Linked DNA regions of Canis lupus familiaris. The protein of the gene in region 2 binds, or shares a complex with, the protein of the main gene of each other region. Links are inferred from orthologs where the notes say so. Each region holds a gene or a part of one and is shown on either strand. Other genes may lie near its edges. The genes, in order: UBE2J1 and HERPUD1.

Region 1 (3,111 bases), on a different chromosome or scaffold from region 2:
GAAAATTATTTCTTGGGCTTTGATTAGGTGGACAATTCTAAGTAAAGGTTTTTCTAATTTCTATCACTGTTACTTGGGCCCTGAGCTTTTCTATTAAAATGGTACATGAAATATTTCAACATTATGCATTATTCCTAGAATAATTAAATTTATAGTGATTACAAAGCTAGGCATATAATACCTTCAAAAGATATACAATTCAAAGCAGAGCAAACATTAAAATCTGAAGATCCTTCCGTTTGACTTCTGGAAGAAAATCAAGTGATTTCCTGGCTTGGACCCTTCTTTCCTTAAAAAAAGCTCTATGGAGGACTGTTTCCTTTGTTTTTGAATCTTGTGTGCATTTGGGAGAGAAGGGGATAACAGCATATCAAAGTGGTTACAAAGCATTATTCCCTCCAAGTAACATCCAGTAACAAAGATGTAATCTCTCCTCATAAATGTCTGACTGAAATAATTACTTTCACTGAACAACATTTAGGACACAAAGTCACAGAATGGGCATCCCAGTCTATCTCCTATGAATGACATTCTCAGCAAGCTATTTGAAGAGCTCTACTTTCCCTTTTCAATTCTTATCCCTAGATCATTCTACATAAGTAGAAACAGAGTACTCAATAAATGATATTGAGTAACTAGTAATACTCACTGGAACTTAAAACACCTTCTTTAATTCAAAATTTTCAAAGGGTTATACAGAAAAGTATCACAAATTTACATAAAAAGAAGTTGAGGCATGAGAAACAATAAGTTATTTCTCTGTAAAGCAGGTCATATGGTGAGACAAGGGACTTTGACTTTCTAGTCCCTTAAACTAAGCAGACACAGTCTGAAAGTCTAGCTATATTGATACTGAATTTATAAGGATCAAAAAAGGAATGAAGGGTAAATACAAAATAATATTTTTGTAAACAATTCTTAGATTATACCCAATGCAGAATGTTTAATGAAGCAGCTGAGTCACAGCTCTTAAGACACAAAACAATATTATAACTCAAAGTCAAATATGTACTCATTGGCCAGATATATTCGTCGGAATATAAGAGCTGCCAATGCCAAAGTCAAGATGACAATCAGAACAGCAGATCCTCCATGATCAGTGTGGTTGTCTCTTGGCTGCTGGCCCTGGATCACATCTGGGGAAGTAGACGACCTTCTTTGACTCTGCTGCTGGGCTCGGCGTTGTCGAGGGCTCATGGAGGTATTCTTAACTACAGGCTGAGCAGGTCGTTGAAGGGATGCTGCTGGGGGGTTCTGGGCTCCATACTAGGAAATTTTAGGAAATCTTGTTTGAAATTGGCAAAGAAAACTTGTATATATGGAAGTTACAAGAATACACAAAACCTCAGAGCACTAAAATATGACTATGGGCAAAACAACCAAGAATGATCTGAAGGCTGAAACTAATTACCCTCCTGAACAAGCCAACAACACAATTTATTCTGAATACTCATCAGGTAGAGGAGGACTTTATCAGCAACAAATAGGATGAGAACAGAGGTTGGCCATGTGCTCTACAGATGGCTTTCTACCCTCCTGTAGCTACAACTCCAGCAATATATGTTAAGCATCTGGGCATCTTACTTTCTTACAGGAGAGCTAAGAAGGGAAGCAATCTGATTTCTTTTCGGCTTGAAAATTTGCCAGACTAAATGGCAAAAAGTTTTAACTCTCAACAGCTTGCCTTTCATGAACCAGGTCTCTTCCAATGTTATCTGACTACATCCACATGCTTCCACCAACAATCATACAGCATAGGGAATAATTTCAAACCATACTTTCTTCACAGCAGTACTGTTATAAAAATCAGATGTTTTCAAGCCAAGTTTGTCTTTTCTCATAACTCCTGCAAAGTGAATTGAGCACAAGTCTAGAATAATTCTTTACTGTGTATTTGAATTATGTTACCTTATGCATATAAAGCATACTTTGGCACAGTAGCGGGCCCTACAAAGCACAAGATATCAATTGTTTTCTGTCCTTTCAATGACTACTGGGCCTAGCATAATTACAGTGTGATACGAAGTGATTCAAAAATCTTAAATATGGTATATAGATAAGAAAGCTCTACAAAATATAAATTCCATTTTATTTATATAGATACCTTAACTCTACCTCTAATAACCCAGTGGCCTTTAATTCTTTTATTGAAAACTTTATATTGGTTATATTAGTACCAATAGCCTTTCAAATAAAAAATAAGAATGCATGTCTTTTTCAGGATAACTTTAAAAACTGAGTAAATAAAAAATATTTTTAAAACTTTCCATTAGAGAAGATTTCAAATAGAAGAAAAAAATCAATAATGTACTTTTTAAAAAGCATAAGAGGATGAGCTTTGTTCTGGCAACAGCTATAAACATTAGGGAAGAAACTGCTGATCTAAGTTACCTACAGAAGAAAGTACATTTTAAATCTGACATTCATTTCAACATTACAAGGTGTGAATAATCTGAGTTTCTTAAAATTGTCTTTTGGAAGCACTCGAATGTAGTGACCCATAACACAGAGACAGAAAAGGAACTACGAGGTCTTACACTGTCGCAGGCATCATATTATCTTAATAAGCACTCATTGGGTTGAGCTGAGTTATAGTGGCTGATACAGCAACATTCCATTTGAAATCTCCCATTCTTCTGATTTCTCAGCCAAGAAGCTAAAAGTGTCTAATGCAGTAAAAGTGCTCAAGGCTTACAGGGAAGGTTCTTAAGGAAAGTAAAAAACACAAAGGTGCTATCAATCCAGGAACTAGCACAAGAGATTGATTCAGCTTAAAGATTTTATTTTATACATGTTATTTTTTTCCATTAGTTTGAGAGAATACAATGACTAAAACAAGCAGCCTTATCATTCATTAATTACCAGGCAGGCTCTAGCACTTCGGGGATGCAGGATCCTGGGCAAATTATTCAGCCTAAGACTCAGCTCTTTCATCTGTACAATTGGATAATATCCAATTCTGTACTTATAAGATTATTTGTTTTGTTTTAAAGATTTATTTATTCATGAAAGACACAGAGAGAGAGGCAGAGACATAGGCAGAGGGAAAAGCAGGCTCCTCACAGGGAGCCGGATGTGGGACTCGATCCCCAAACTGGGATTATGCCCTGA
Region 2 (4,397 bases):
CTATAGAAAGTACTGAACTTTGAATTTCTCTTTAACATGCAAATAAATTTAGGATGGCAAATTATCTCCAGTCCACAAAATCTATGATGACCTACTTGACTTTTAAACTCCCAAGGAAATTCCTTTCTGCCACTAAAAACACAAATTGTATTTGGGGATCCCACAGCAACTAACTTCAAAACCTGGTTTGATCTCAGAGAAAACTCAAAGTACTCCCAACCAAGGTCAGCCTTTACCAAAATCACCTAGTATTGTCCTAAGAGAAATTTTTTTTTTAATTTTAAGATTTTATCTATTTATTTGAGACAGTGTGTGTATATATGTAAGCAGGGGGAGGGGGAGGGGGAAAAGCAGACTCCCCACTGAGCAGCTCTATCCCAAGGCCCTGAAATCATGATCTCAGCCCAAAGCAGACACTTAACCAACTGAGCCACCCAGGACCCCAACATAAAGCAATTCTAAACTAAGCTCTCAAAGAGACTTTTCCTAACATACAAATCCAAGTATAGAGGAAATGGTGCGTAGGTAGTATTTCAGAGAACTCTATGAGGCTTACTACCCCTATTGAAGGGAGGAAAAGTCTGAAACTGACTTGTCCAAGTTCACCCGTCACTGAAGAGTCAGGATTCCAACCGTCATCTCCATTCCAGTGATTTCAAAACCACAGGGACTCTACACATTTTCATATAAATCTCACTTTTAAAATCAACTAGATTTTAAATTCCTTTAAAAACCATACTTAAAAATAACGGCCTCAAATGATACATACCAAAGCCAGTACTCTATAGAGATCACCAACCCAAGGACAGAACAATTATGCAAAATCTGGAATAAAGTTGCTCCTGCCAAGTAGCTGGAGATTATAAAGCAAACTGTTTAAATCAATCAAAACGATAATTGCATCTATTTATCTGCATAAATCAGGATTTTTTTTACACCACGCACCTTGAACTACAGAACCAAATTGGATACTATTTTTCACCATTGTTCTGATTGACTTTACAGGTAATGCTATGCACATAATCTTGTTAAATGCTAGAGGTGGGGTCCTGCATTACATAAAGAGTTCCACACTAGTAAAGGTTTTGAAAACCACAGATGCCTGTTTTTCCCTTTAAAAGGCCTGACCTGGGATCCCTGGGTGGCGCAGCGGTTTGGCGCCTGCCTTTGGCCCAGGGCGCGATCCTGGAGACCCGGGATCGAATCCCATATCGGGCTCCCAGTGCATGGAGCCTGCTTCTCCCTCTGCCTGTGTCTCTGCCTCTCTCTCTCTGTGTGTGACCATCATAAATAAAGAAAAAATTAAAAAAAATAAATAAATAAAAAATAAAAAAATAAAAGGCCTGACCTGACGTTCCATCAAATCAGAAGGCTGATTTGAAAAAAGAAATTAAATATGCTAAACTATTATAAAAGTAAGAAACCAAATGACGAGTGCCCCTCCAGTCATAATTTTTATGCACAAATTTACACACCTGAGAGGTCTTTTATTTACAATTTTTGGGTCTTCAGACTTAATAGGAGTGACGGTTGTCACCCAAGGAAGCCCTTAAGGGAAGCTCTCCTCCAAAACACTTTTACCAAATGATGCAACTAGGGACCACACCTATCTGTGGACCTAACAGCTATTCTCACAGCACCTGGGCCACCGAGTTTCTTGGAAACAGTTGTGGTGAAACTACAAATAGTCCCAAGGGGAATGCTGAAGGAATGACAGCTTTTTAGGTAAACTAGCAAAATTCAAAGAATAACTCGGAAGGAAAGCTCACTTCTACAATTCCATATTCAACAATTAAGGGATAAAAAGCCTGACAACTCCCCCCTCTCCCCCCTCCCCCCCAGCTACCACACGCTGCAAATTTTCAGGTAAGAGGCAACAATTTCAGTCTTTGTCGCCCAGATGCCTTCTCCTGTTTAAGGCAGAATCGCACTTGTGGGCAGCGGAGCACACGGCTGACACTTACATAATATCAGGGTACAAAGTAAATACAGGAAGGTCCGGCTCGCAGCCTCCGTCACGTGGTGGGGAGGGAAGGGAGGGCGGTGCTAAGGGGGATGTTGACAGATGTGTCAACCAAAACAAAGCGAGGAAGTCTGTAATTGAGGAGCCAAAGCCTTAACGCCCAGACCCTGCCTGCTTCCTTCTAAACCCTCTAAGCAGAGAGTGCGCGGGGCTCCTCCCCGGGACCAGGCACAGGCCGCGGAGTCCGGCGCGCCGGGCAGGGAGGGGCCGCGGCGGAAGGCGGCGGGCGAGGGGAAGAGCCACGTCTCGCTGCCGGCTGCGGCGCCCCGAGGACACACGCACTCCTTGGGCGCTCCCCCGTGTCCCCAGCCACGGGCCGGGGCTGGCCCCGCTGGCCCCCGCCCTCCTGCCCCGCACCGAGACGCTGCTTCGGAAGATCCCCTTCGCAGCATTCCTGCGTCCCCGCTTCTATCCAGTTCCCAGTGCGCAACGCCTGTCGCCCTGCTCTTTCGGGGAAACGGAGTTTGGAAGGGTGCGAGGACTCACCCAAGGTCAAGCCGCGGGCTCGGCGGCGGGGCCAAGGCCGGAAGCCAGACCCAGGGGACGGGGCAGTGGTCTGGGAGGCGGGGCGGGAGGGCGACGGCCGTAGGGGCTGGGGGACACGGGACGAGGGACGGGGAAGGCAGCCCGTCTGCAGGGCGGAGCGATGGCGGCGGGGCAGGGCGAGACCCCCGCGGGGAGGCGACCTGCGGGGGACCGGCCGTCGGGCTGGGGGCGACGCGCGAGCCGCAGGGATGGCGGCCGCGCCGGGGGACGCCGGCAAGGGGAGTCGGGGCCCCTCTCACCGGGCGCTCGGGGTAGACGCGGCTCAGGTGGGCCTTGAGGCGGCCCACGCTCCAGCTGCGGTCGCCGCTCAGCTCCAGGTCGCGGTGGCGCTGGTTGGGGCTCTTCACCAGGAGCGTGACGGGCTCAGGCTCGGGTTCGGGCTCGACCTCCATGTCGGCTGCGCTGTGGGCTCGGCGGCGCTCCGAGAAGCCAGGCAGGCGGCGTCGGGGCCGCCCACAACCTCCGCAACGACCGCTCGCGTCTCTGGGGCGCGCGCCCCCGCCTCAGGCGCCTTTTATAGGCACCTCGCGCTAGGGCTCTGCGGCGAGGACACTCTGTGGCCGCCGCCCATTGGCTGGGGCGGGGGTCACGGCCCTAACGTGGCCCAATCGGCGCCCGGTTCGTGGGCGGAAGGGCGGGCCGAGCACGTGGTCGGGGGCTGATGCAACCCGTCGCCCTTGCGTCACTCGGAGTCCCGGCTGCGGCCCCGGAACCCGGGTTCGGCGGCCATGTTTGGGTGCGCTGAGCCCCGGCGGGGCGCTGAGGCCCGGACGGACCGGGGTGCGGCCTTGCTCCAGGCGCCTGTGGGGGCACGGGCAGGCAGACCCCCCGCTTGCAGGCTTCTGCAAATTGTGTCCTCACAAAGCAGCTCTCCCCGCCCTTTCTGACCCCGGGTGCCGAGGCTCTCTGCCCCTTTCCCTTCCCGGCGGTGCGGGCGGCCCGGACGCCAGGCCCCGCGGCCTGCCCTACGGCGGAGGCTTCCCCACGCCTTCCGCGGCCTCCGCCCGGAGCACGGCGGGCTGGGCCCCGTGTGCGAGTCCCGGGGCCTCGGCAGGGGAGGACGCAGGCTGGACTCCCCCTGCGGCCTGGACGTGACCGCGGCCCCCGCGGGCGCGCGCATCCCCTTTACGGCGCCAGCCCGCGCGGCCTTCCACTGCGGCGGAGCCCCCGAGGCGAGGCTTCTCCGTGTTCTACGAGGTGGAGGTGCCGGTGCCGGTGCCGCTGAGGTAGGCCAACCTCCCGCCCTCGCCTCTGTAGGAAGAAAGGTCTTGAAAAACAGCACCGACGTGGTGCGGGCCCCATCCCGATGCAGGCGTCTTGGGACGTCTGTCCCTGCGGGTGCCGGGAGCGCGGCAAGGGCAGGCGGCTGACGCGAGGGGCCTGGTCGGGCCGGAGGCTGCAGGCCGCGGACCGCAGGCCCGAGGGACAGAACGCGCTGTGCCCTGGGCCAGGAGGCCGGAGCCACACATGGAGGTGCTGGGCCGGGGTTGCTCCTTCTGAGGAGGGCTGCGAGAGGGAATCTGTTCAGTGCGTTTTCCTGCTTCTGGTAGTTTGTGGCAATGTCTGCAGTTCTGGGTGTGGGGCTACAGCGTCCCAGCGCGGCCTGCGCCGTCAGGGTGCGTTCTCCCTGTGTGCGTGCTTTTCCGCATCATTTTCCCTCCATGCAGGTCTGTTTCTGCGTCTCAACACCCCCCCCCCTTTATTATTTATTTACTTATTTATTTTTGTTTGTTTAAGAGAGAGTGTGAGCACAAGGGGGGTCAGGGGGCGATGCGGAGAGAGACTCTCAAGCAGACTCCATTCACTCAGCGCAGAGCCAGACCTGAGG

What was found.
Region 1: HERPUD1 (region 2) and UBE2J1 share a complex: the UniProt entries of both Homo sapiens proteins name them as parts of the HRD1 complex. The link is inferred for Canis lupus familiaris from reciprocal best matches to the Homo sapiens genes HERPUD1 and UBE2J1.

Annotation. Positions count from the first base shown.
Region 1 is NC_049233.1:48,761,019-48,764,129, forward strand, and holds part of UBE2J1 (ubiquitin-conjugating enzyme E2 J1), read right to left. Parts: intron 1,267-3,111; coding exon 988-1,266; 3' UTR 1-987. UniProt on the Homo sapiens protein: Catalyzes the covalent attachment of ubiquitin to other proteins. Functions in the selective degradation of misfolded membrane proteins from the endoplasmic reticulum (ERAD) and is essential for cells to recover from ER stress.
Region 2 is NC_049223.1:58,668,727-58,673,123, forward strand, and holds the start of HERPUD1 (homocysteine-responsive endoplasmic reticulum-resident ubiquitin-like domain member 1 protein), read right to left. Parts: upstream 3,073-4,397; 5' UTR 2,962-3,072; coding exon 2,809-2,961; intron 1-2,808. UniProt on the Homo sapiens protein: Component of the endoplasmic reticulum quality control (ERQC) system also called ER-associated degradation (ERAD) involved in ubiquitin-dependent degradation of misfolded endoplasmic reticulum proteins.